Linked DNA regions of Arabidopsis thaliana. The protein of the gene in region 1 interacts with the protein of each later gene in a pairwise test. Each region holds a gene or a part of one and is shown in the gene's direction. Other genes may lie near its edges. The genes, in order: KIPK and AT4G33920.

Region 1 (7,083 bases):
TTTGTACACTATTAATGAAAATTCACATTTTAAAAAATAAAATTGAATGATGGTTCAAATTGATCTTAAACGAAAAAATCTGGGTTCCATCAATCGTTTTTCTTGAAAAGATGCAAAATATTTTTAAAAATCGAATAAAATAATTAGCAGGACCATTGATATATTTAAATATGCGCATGCATATGTTTGTATAATAAAATCTTTTGATGTTGATGGTTGGTTTAAGTTAAATAAGAAATCAGAAGCGGACGTAACACATCTAATTTTTGTGTTAGTTTAGTGTTTACAATATATTTAATGGGGATTAAAAGCATGAGGGAAGAGATTAAAGGCGCAGAAAGAGGAATCCTAGGCTCAAAGGGTTCTCAAAGACCTATCAAGTCTCTATTATTTCCTAACACCACGTTCCAACTGTATGATTTAGGCTTTTTTGCCAGATTCAAAAGTACTTTGTTGTTATTAATCTCGATCATGTATCATTAAGTTATGTTTCTTGATCTTATGGTTACGGTTGTATATTATTTGATTTTTCCTATGCATTTTCCATTAGACTCTATTTGATTTTTCCTATGCATCTTCTATTAGATTCTAGTTCATTCTTTCTTATTTTTTTAATTCATTTGTCTTGGGTGGCTAATGAAGCAATAATGGTTTTTAGTTTTTATTTGAGATATTTGTAATTAATGATGCATATAATTTACTGTTTTACGTGGAAAAACGTATTCTAATTTCTTGTAAATTGCAATCGCATTGTATATTGTACCGAGGAAAAGGATCGATTTGCCTGCGTGTGTATAAGCTTTATCAACGAGATCCAAAGTAATCTATATATGACCCATTGACCTACCATCATACACAAAGTCAACACACCTAAAAATGATTATGATCATGTTAATCTATTACCGCTTCACATACAATTGATAAAACCAAACTAAAACTAAAACTAAATATAAATACTATAAACTAGTTAAGTAACCCACGAAAAAGTCTCGGCTTGGCTATAAAAATGCAGTCACCTTCCACTTTTTATTATCTTTCTGATAGTCATTCTATCAGAAATATTTTATACATTAGACTGATTTGTAGTATTTTCGTCTGCTTAAATTTGAACATATCGTTCGTTAATCATTAATGTTTCCTAAGTTAGTAACAGGCCTAATTCTTAATTGTATGTTCAATACTTTTATCTTATGATCTGATGTCTGAACTTTGAGGTAAAATGGTACTAGTATAGTTCCATAGTTATGAATTTGAAAGACTGATTAAAAATATATATTCAAAATACATATCAATCTACAGTGTTCTTTTTTTGTTTGCTAAATTATATGAATCTACAAAATAAAAACGTTATTTCTTCGAAAGAAGTGTTGTCGAAAAAACATTTTGAAAAGAACTGCGCATTGGCTACCTGTCTTATTCTGACAATATTGCTCCACCGTTATATTTTAAAAGCATTCACATCTATTTTTATCTTCTCACCAATCTTACCTACTACCATGTGTTCGCAGTAAATTAAGACATACGACGATCGAAATACTGTAATTATTTATTTTTATTGATTACACTAAACTAATCTTTTCATCAAGATAATCTTTCTTATGGGATTTCTGATTGTAAAGGGGTTTTTCCTCAATTTTTCCCTATTATTTTTTCAATTTAGTTTTGCCCAAAAAAAAAAAAAGAAACTATTTAATAAAGTTCTATAATATATTATTGATATAATCCGATTGAGTTAGCTCGATTAGAAGAATCATAGATGGCTAGATAAAGACATCTAGTCGACCTCTACTACTCTAGTGATCTAAGATTCAACTGGAGAGCAGTGTTATGACTTTGAAAAAAAAAAAAAAAAAAATCAGCATGATATACAACTTTTATAGATTAGTCACTATTCGATGAATGATGGGAAATTTCTTTGGCAATTTGACTTTGGTCAAATATGTCATGATATTGGTGGAAGTAAATTATTGATCATCAACATTTCCGGGAGGTGAAATCAGTTTTGACATGACAGTATATAATATTAAAATACTTGTTTCTATGAATAAAAACAGCATAAATCCAAATAAAGCTCGAATTATTTAAATAAAAGAACAATAACAATTCAGATAAATTTATGAACAATAATAAAAGAGTTTTGAAATGGAATTAAATATCTTCTGAAGTGAAATATGTAATAAAAATACAGTAGTAATTTTTATTTGTTTTGAGGCATAATAAAATGAGGAAAAAACCCGCAAACATATGCTGTGGGACCCACCATGTTTTTTTTTTCAACTTGATCATCTCTTAACTCTCTCTCATTCACCAGAAAACAAAAATTACACAAAAATCAAAACTTTTACTTTTTATTTCTCCTCTCTGGATCTTCCTCTTCAAAGCTCAAGGCCATTAGGGTTTATCTGAGCTCCAAAATCACCCTAATTCTAGTGTATTTCTCAGCAAGCAAGCTTCTTCTTTTTTTGTCCTGGGTAAGCCTTTGTTCCTTCAATTTATCGCCAGCTTCTTCTTTATCTCTTACCTTTTCTTCTTTGCACGCCTCCATTAGCACTTTATTTATTTTTCTTCTGTAACCCTCTCTTTGATTTGCTTTAATTCATGAGATTTGGGGACCGTATTCAGGGTTTTTTTTGGGTGGGTTTCTCTGATTTTTTTTTCCTTTTTCAGACCTTTCATTATCTCTATGTGGTCACTTAAGGTCTCTGCAGTTTCAATTCAAAAATTTAGTTTAAAAAAAAAAAAAATCTGGGTGTGTGTTCATTAGCTAGCTCCTCTTTGTTCACTCATTGGCTCTCTATGATTTGACATTTAAGATTATTGCTGCATTTAATTGTGCTAAATCGATTCTGCACTCATGCTTCAGCTACTGTTCTTTGTGTCCCTGTAAATTTAAGTTTTTGAGATCTGAAACTATAAGAAATTTTCCGATTTTGGTTCTCATTAGTTGTTAGATCTCTTATCTCACTCGAAGCTTCTTTTTTTACGCGGTTTGATTTATTAATTTCGTTACTTCTCTGTAAATTCTCGATCTTTAGGGTTCTTCTCATCCCCTGGTTTAATAATGGGTCCAATCTCAGTTCTTGTTCACTCTAATTTTACTTTCACAATATCTCCAATTACGCAGATGCTTTTTGACAAATTTTCTCCATTAAAAGTGTCTTCTTTTTTAGCTGTATTAAATTTATAGGTCTCTCTATCTGTACTGGTATAGGGTTCATGATTGAGTCTACAAAAACATAATGAATGACCTAAAAGCTATTAACTTTCGTTTCTAGATCTGCTTGCTTCTCTTTAATATCTTCACCTCATTGCTCTAATAGACATTAATCTCCATTTGAAGTTAGTATTCTTTTACCAGTTTTACTGATTTTTCTTTTTCATTCAGGTAACTGTGATTGTTGCAGGATCTTGTGTAGAAACAGATCACAAGAAGATGAATGATAACTCGGTGGTGCGGCTTTGATTATCTTCAGAGATTTTAGATTCTGTATCCACTCTGTTGCGATGGGGTCGTTTGCAGGCGCTTGTGAGATTGTGGAAGAGAAGGATGATGAAGTAAGATTGCCAAAACATTCCGGGAGATATGGTAAATCGGTTATGGGATCATCAAGTAAGGATTTGGTGGAGCGTAAGCAACGAGAGTATCATGGTTCTCTTGAGTATGACATTGATATGCTTTTTCAGTCTATTTCTGTTAAACCATCTACTACGAGGTTGATGAGTTCTTCTTTCCATCATCATGAGACGAGCGCGAGTGCCGGTCCAAGCAGGACCACAAGCCCTTCGAAGAGAATTGCGTCCATGAAAAAACCAGGGACACCTCAGTCTCCTAGATTTGTTGGTCTCTCTGATTCAGTTTCTTTGAAGCAGGCTCTTAGGGATCGTTGCATTTCTAAGGCGTCGGAAATGGCTGCTCAGAAACGGTTGTCGAAATCTGCTGCTGCATCTCCGAGGGTCTCAGAAGCTGACAGGATAAAGAGTTTGTATAACCAAGTTTCGAATGAATCTACTAGCAGCAGGTCTGGGCTTGTTCCTGTGGACAAGGGTAAAGGAAGTTTGGTTGAGATACCTTTGATGCCTGTAAACGATAAACCAAGCTCTTCAAAGAGCGTACCTCAACGGTTTGAAGATCCTTCTAACCCCATTTCTGAGCCATCTCAAGCTGGAACCAGTTTTGGATTACAAGGAGTGGGGAATCAAACGCGGGAGATTAAGCTGTTGCATAGATCCAACAAACCTGGGTCTTGTCTTAGTTCTGGCAGTGGAGATTATGAGATAGAGTTAGATGAAAATGTTGCGTCTCCTTCCACTCATGCATTTGTTGAAGATGATGTGATAGAAATAGACAAACACGTTACTTCACTGCCATCTCACTCTAGCAAGAAAGTCAATGCGACGGAGCTTGACAAGAATATTTCCTCATCTGCTGTAGACTCAGAGCAGAAAGGGAAGTTGGATGATGCACCTAATTCAGGGACAGAGAATGGCAAAACAGTACGGAAGGTAACAAGAATGATTCCACGTCCCAAACAACCGAAAAAGAAAATTTTGCTTAAGAAGAAGTTAAAAATCGGGGTTGTGTCAGCAACTTACCCAACAAAAGACGATGAAGAAATTGTTCCTTCCTTGGACTCTAGTGCCAATCAACTTCTCTGCCAGAGATGTCACTGTTCGTTGAAGAGCACCAGCATCGATGACAACCCACCTTCATATACTTCTAGTCATAATCCTAAGATTTGCACAGATAGTTTGAGCTCTGTTTCAAATAAAGAAGCTCATCAAGGATCTGACGAGAACTCCTCTGGCTCGTGTAATGTCAGTCAAAGCTCTGAAGCTGACATTGTCATAATGAAACAAGATGTTTCCTCTAGCAATAATAGTGGAATCGGTGCAATGGTAGAAAAAGAAACCGAGAATCCGACTTCCAGTGAGAAATTCGAGTTCTCTCTGAGTTCAAAAGATAGTCTTGGGGATTATAGCAGGAGCACAAGCATTAGTGAGGAGAGTAATCTGAGCCGATTTAGCTGTGGGAATAAGCCTCACATGTCGATGGATGTGAGATGGGAAGCGATTAAGCATATCAAGGTTCAATACGGCTCTTTGGGTTTACGACACTTCAACCTTCTGAAGAAACTTGGTTGTGGAGATATAGGAACAGTCTATCTCGCCGAGCTGATTGGTACAAACTGTTTGTTTGCCATAAAGGTTATGGACAACGAGTTCTTGGCGAGAAGGAAAAAGTCTCCCCGGGCACAAGCAGAAAGAGAAATACTTAAAATGTTGGACCATCCTTTTCTTCCTACATTATACGCGCAATTTACTTCGGATAATTTATCTTGTCTAGTCATGGAATATTGTCCTGGAGGAGATCTTCATGTCCTCAGACAGAAGCAGCTAGGCCGGTGTTTCCCTGAACCTGCAGCAAGGTAAAGATTTACCTTTTCCATTTCGTGTCTAGCTTATTTAATGTACTGAAAATTGATTGTAAAAATTTGTTTCTGTAGATTCTATGTGGCCGAAATTCTCCTTGCACTGGAGTACTTACACATGCTTGGTATCATATACCGAGATCTGAAACCGGAAAACATTCTTGTCCGTGAAGATGGACACATTATGCTTACGGATTTTGACCTCTCACTCCGTTGTGCAGTGAACCCGACTCTTGTCAGGTCAAACTCTCCACCTGGTAAAGATCCCGCAAGGATTTCAGGTCCATACAACACATCCAACTGCATACAACCATTCTGTATCACCGAACCATCTTGCCAGGTTTCGTGTTTCAGCCCTAGGCTCTCCTCAAACCAACAACAAGGTAGAAAACCAAAAAGGGGTGATCATCTTTCGAAAACCCAACAACACTTGAGTAGATCATTGCCTCAGCTCGTGGCTGAACCAACCGAAGCAAGATCCAATTCCTTTGTGGGAACACACGAGTACCTAGCCCCAGAGATCATCAAAGGAGAAGGACATGGCGCTGCAGTTGACTGGTGGACTTTCGGGGTTCTCCTTTACGAGCTTTTATACGGGAAAACACCATTCAAAGGTTACAACAACGACGAGACTTTGGCCAATGTTGTGTTACAGAACCTCAAGTTTCCTGATAGCCCGCTTGTAAGCTTCCAGGCAAAAGACTTGATCAGGGGACTTCTTGTTAAGGAACCAGAGAACAGGCTCGGGTCAGAGAAAGGTTCTGTAGAGATCAAAAGACATCCTTTTTTTGAAGGATTGAATTGGGCTCTGATCCGGTGTGCAATCCCGCCTGAGCTACCGGATTTCTATGAGTATGGTGGTGGACCAGAGGCAGCGGCGGATTCGCCTGGAGGCAGTAATAATAGGTATCTTGAATGTAAAGCCATAGGCGATCATCTTGAGTTCGAGTTGTTTTAAGCAAGACATAGATATTCTCTGGTATAAGCATTCAGAGTAATCGTTGTTGTAAGTTATTATATCTAAGTTAAATCTAAATGTCTTATATGTAAATTTAGCGTTCTCTGAGACATAATCTGATATAGTATTCTCAAAAATATATATGCTCCTTCGTATCTCAATTTTTAAATATATGATCAAACATTACAATCTTAGTAGACACTAATCTACAAAACCAAAAGATTACAAACACTTTTCTTCAATGAAAGACTTGAGTTGAGATTCCCATCTGATGAAGAACACTTGACGTCGAAGAAGCTGACCTCAAAGCCTCAGCTAATGGTCCACCCATATTGTGGTGGTTCCCTACATTGCTCCACCAATTCAATTGCTCCCTCTCATTGTTGTTGTTTCTCAGGTTCTCTTCTTCTTTTTCTTCTTCATTGCTTGTTGAAAGTTTTAGAGAAACATCTGAGGAAGCGTTACTATTACCGGGCACGGAGATTGAGATATGACAAGTGGATGAGCTCATTGGACTGGAGGTAGAGCCCAATGATGATTCGCCTAGCCCGCCTAAACCCGCCTAATGACCGTGTAATCCACTTAATGTCTGCATAGTCCGCCAAATCTTCCTCACCGCCTAATAGAATCGATTTTAAGAAAGTCGAAGCGGTACATGAACGCCTAGCACCTAGGGGATGCCTAGACGGCTGCGTA
Region 2 (4,878 bases), on another chromosome or scaffold:
TTAAAATATATTGTTTTATAGTTTAATGATCAGATCTCGTTGACCAGTTTGTCATTTTCTTCACTGGTCAACAAATACAAAAAAATGCGCCGAATTTATCCTTTTTTTTGGTTGAAGTTTGGTTGCGTAGAGTGGTTTAAGTTTTGGTTCGATGGAACTTGAACGTTTTTGTGATTTGAATTAGGTGGGCTTCTTTTGAGTTGTTTTGCTTCATTCAGGCTGTCGATAATGACTTGGAATCGATCTTAGAATGTAAGGTGGATATGTAGTCCAACATTGAATTGTGTTTATGGTTAAAAAGTAAAGAATGATTATTTATTAATTATATACAGTCAAATTAGAGAGTCTTAAGCCGAGATCAATACATTATCCAACGAAATTTCAAATGAGTTTATTTTCTTAACTAATAGTCTATATTCTTGCAACTTCTTTTTGATAACCAAATAAAATGTGTAACCATTCTACAAATGATTTTCATATAGAGATTTGAGTTTAGAAAAGAATAAGCAAGAAGAAGATTCAAGTAGCCTTTGTGTCGAGAAGAAGGTTCAAGGAGCTCTCTTTGTGGGCTATAGAACTGTTGTTTAAGAAAGAAGGTGACTCATTTAATGTTTGGTTCTTGGGGTTCACAGAGCATTGTTCACTGAAGAGAGATGTGATACTAGAGAGATTCTTAGTGAGCATTGACAGAAATAATAGTAGTACTAATTAAGTTTTTTTTTGTTTGATGAATCTTGTATGCATCGGTATAATATGAGTGGATATGCAAATGTTAAAAAAAATAAAATGAATGGATCTATATATGTTGAAAATCACCCTATGATCCATAACAACGATAAATACGCATCCATAATGTTATAAATGTAAAGGTAAACATCATGATCAAAAAAGTTCGACAACTTGGGCCAATGAATTTCCAGTTGCTTCCGCGTATATATATAAGTCCTTCCACGTCAATTTCTTAATCCCAAAATGCAAACCTTTTTATAACAACCAAATAAAAATGTGCCACTTGTAATTAAATATAAATTACTCCATAAGCAATAATATTCATCGTTTTAATAGTATGCTCTAGAACACAGCACACAAAGATTTGTTTTGACCAGAACATGTTTTTTTTCTTATACCGGAAACGGTAACGTGATAATAAAATTAGGTTAATAATAATATAGATACTAAGATGACTAGATTATTAGCAAGAAATTGTATTCAGTTGTTATCCGTCTTTCTTAGTTGACAAGCAAATATATCAGCTACACGTTGGCTACAGGTTACTCATCCTTACCCATTCATTATTCGCTCATTATAACAATTTCCCACTGATATATTCAAATACAAAATATATAAGACACAAAATAGAATTAATTTATTGCTATTTGCAGACGATGTAAACATTTTTGTAGACATGAACAATTTAATTGATTCTTTACTCATCGTAGACATGAATTTATATTTCAAAAGGGTCTACTATTTCTAAATAATATTCAAACATTGACTCTGTAAATCACATATAAATAAATATATATATTATACACTACATTAATATAATATCTCCTATTTCAAAAAGAAATAAAAGTAGCTGTTGAATTTAGATATTTTTTTGTTGGACCGAATCAGAATTTAAGTTTTTGAATTGTTCCAGAAGAAAGATATTTTAGTATAATATACGGCAATGACGTTTATGTTTGGGCCAAAACTTTGTCTATTTATTGAGAAAAATAAAGCTAAATGGAGAAGAATAACAAAAATAAACAACGCGTTGAAAAAAACTGCAAAAAAAAAGAGAAGGGGGAGGGCGAAATTAAAACAAAACGACGCGTAGTCTACGTAGCCTTCTAAGAAACGGCACAAGTACAAGTCATCTCTATCAATATTCTTCTTCTTCTTCCTCACGCGGTTTTCTTTTACCACCACCAACTCAACACACACACGAATCCCTTAAAACCGATCAGATCAAACAAAAACGAACGAATCAAAATTCAATAAAAAAAAACCTTTCGATTTCTCTCATCCAATCGAATCGAAAATCTTGTTATCTCTTTCTCTCTAACTCTACTGCACTCAGAATCTCTCTGTATAGAAAAACCCTAAGTAGGTTGTGATGTTGCGAGCTTTAGCACGGCCTCTCGAACGGTGTTTGGGAAGCAGAGCTAGTGGTGATGGTTTACTCTGGCAATCGGAATTGAGACCTCACGCTGGCGGTGATTATTCGATCGCGGTGGTTCAAGCCAATTCCAGGCTTGAAGATCAGAGTCAGGTTTTCACATCTTCTTCTGCTACTTACGTCGGTGTATACGATGGTCATGGTGGACCTGAAGCTTCTAGATTCGTTAACAGACATCTCTTTCCTTATATGCACAGTAAGTTATAATCCCACTCTTCCTTCCCTAAACTTGTTTTAGGATTCTTTCTTCTTTTGACTCTTTGACTACGTTTTTGATGGTCAAAACTTATGAGATCTCTATTACCCTGATCATTTCAATATTAAAAGATTCGAATTTTGCTATGAAGTTTTGGTCTTTGTGAACATGTTCAGGTTTGTAAATTGCCTCTTGAATTGATTTTGTAGTCATGTTCTTGTTAGTGAAATTTACAGGATTGGTTTTATGATTGCAGAATTTGCAAGAGAACATGGGGGATTATCTGTAGATGTTATCAAAAAGGCATTCAAAGAAACAGAAGAAGAGTTTTGTGGTATGGTTAAACGATCCCTTCCCATGAAACCGCAAATGGCTACTGTAGGATCTTGCTGTCTTGTTGGTGCAATCTCTAATGACACACTGTATGTTGCTAATCTTGGGGACTCGAGAGCCGTTCTTGGAAGCGTTGTTTCAGGGGTTGATAGTAATAAAGGTGCCGTAGCTGAACGGTTATCTACTGATCATAATGTTGCTGTTGAAGAAGTGAGAAAGGAGGTTAAGGCACTTAACCCTGATGACTCACAAATCGTCTTATACACACGTGGAGTTTGGCGGATTAAAGGCATTATTCAGGTATAACTTAGTTTTGCTTGCCTGCTTGTTAAATTGCGTGTGATTACATAGCATCTGTGATGAAGTTATAATATTTAAAAGGTGTAATCTGATGTTGTTTTTTCTTTTCTCTTTTCATTTATATAAATGGGGGCTTGCAATGTTCCAGGAATCCGTCACACGGGCTCCTGCAACGTTTCTTCCCCAGTGGATTTTGTGCTTTTCTAAGAATTCCCGGTAGTCAGAGCTATACATAATAATGAAGATACATGCTTTTTAGTTGCTTGTGACCTTTCCGTGAATGTTTGAGCTCGTTGTATATTAGTTAGCTAAATCGTTTTCATATACGCTTCTTTATAGGTATCGAGATCAATTGGGGATGTATACTTGAAAAAACCGGAGTATTACAGGGACCCGATTTTCCAGCGACATGGAAATCCCATTCCTTTGAGGAGACCCGCGATGACAGCCGAACCCTCCATTATAGTAAGGAAGCTTAAGCCACAGGACTTGTTTCTGATATTTGCATCAGATGGTCTCTGGGAACATCTTAGTGATGAAACAGCCGTAGAAATCGTCCTCAAACACCCAAGAACTGTAAGTTTTCCCTAAACTCAAGTTTGCTTTGTATCTTCACATTTATGTTAGCTACTTAGTTTATTTATTTATTAACTCTGTGTTCTACAGGGTATTGCCCGAAGACTTGTAAGAGCTGCTCTGGAAGAAGCGGCAAAGAAGAGAGAAATGAGATATGGAGATATAAAGAAAATAGCCAAAGGAATTCGACGACATTTCCATGACGACATAAGCGTTATTGTAGTTTATCTAGATCAAAACAAAACCAGTTCATCGAATAGTAAATTGGTGAAGCAAGGAGGTATCACCGCTCCACCGGATATCTACTCATTACACTCTGATGAAGCAGAGCAACGACGGTTACTCAATGTGTTATACTGACTGTTTGATTATGGTAAAATGGCTGCTTGGGAAAGATCCGAATAGGGAGAAAACTTGTTTACATATTTGTTTATTTGTTTTTCTACGAAGAACTGGTTTTTTTTTTTTTTCAATATTGGAGTTGGATTTGTATATTCTTTTACCAGCAAAGAAGGTCGAAACCCTTTAGTTTTTGGGCAAAGCAGTTTTGCTTTTGACACAAACAATACTTTTGTATGAAAATCTAGTGTGAAACCGTTGAGGACAACTCTTCATATATCAGATTGTTTTTTTTTATGACCTTGTATGGAGAGATTAGTATATTGAATTATTTGTCTATAATAACTAAATAAAAACATTATCGATCACAAACCAAAATAAGCCAACAAAATTCCAGATGTTGCCTAAATTTTGGAAAATATGCATGACAGACATTCGAAACTTCAGATCCAAATCAAACCGAAATTGAAATTTGTCAAATATCTAAACCGAATTGAACACGAGCGGTTTTTGAGAATATGAAATTGGGCAGAGCAATTCAAACTCAAAAATTCAACAATTCCAGAAGAACTTTCTCAGAAAAGTTTCGACGGAAGAAAAAGCAAAACGATGAACGTCACTCTTTTGGTCGCAGACGCCGTTTGGTCGAACATTGAATCAACCGGTTCAGGTACTTCACCATTTTACTACTTCTCTCTTTCCTTTTCCTTGTTTACGACATTTTATTCCGTTGAATTTTCCATCTTTTTCTGCAGTAACCGAAGAACAGCTCTCAATGTCAGTTCTCTCTTATACATAGCTGGGATTCTTTATTTTTCCCGAAAATATTTATTGATTTTTCTTCAGTCGTTTGGTATGATTAGGGTTTATCGATTTAATTTTGCAAATACAGCTTGCAGCTGTTGTTTGGTAAGAATCTTGAGAAAGCCACCAGAATAATCGACAAGAGAGGCGTCAAGAAAATATCTGG

What was found.
Region 2: the proteins of KIPK (region 1) and AT4G33920 interact in a two-hybrid assay, tested with the Arabidopsis thaliana proteins (one large-scale study listed by BioGRID).

Annotation. Positions count from the first base shown.
Region 1 is NC_003074.8:19,605,646-19,612,728, forward strand, and holds KIPK (KCBP-interacting protein kinase), read left to right. Parts: upstream 1-2,251; 5' UTR 2,252-2,471; exon of another isoform or gene 2,472-3,385; 5' UTR 3,386-3,504; coding exon 3,505-5,426; intron 5,427-5,504; coding exon 5,505-6,387; 3' UTR 6,388-6,572; downstream 6,573-7,083. UniProt on the Arabidopsis thaliana protein: Could be involved in the negative regulation of root growth.
Region 2 is NC_003075.7:16,258,775-16,263,652, forward strand, and holds AT4G33920 (Protein phosphatase 2C family protein), read left to right. Parts: upstream 1-1,733; 5' UTR 1,734-2,101; coding exon 2,102-2,360; exon of another isoform or gene 2,361-2,606; coding exon of another isoform or gene 2,607-2,616; coding exon 2,617-2,993; intron 2,994-3,332; coding exon 3,333-3,569; intron 3,570-3,659; coding exon 3,660-3,929; 3' UTR 3,930-4,280; downstream 4,281-4,878. Other genes in the region: SSN2 (zinc finger SWIM domain protein), read left to right, coding at 4,518-4,578, 4,664-4,685, 4,801-4,878. UniProt on the Arabidopsis thaliana protein: May dephosphorylate and repress plasma membrane H(+)-ATPases (PM H(+)-ATPases, e.g. AHA1 and AHA2), thus influencing negatively plant growth and fitness.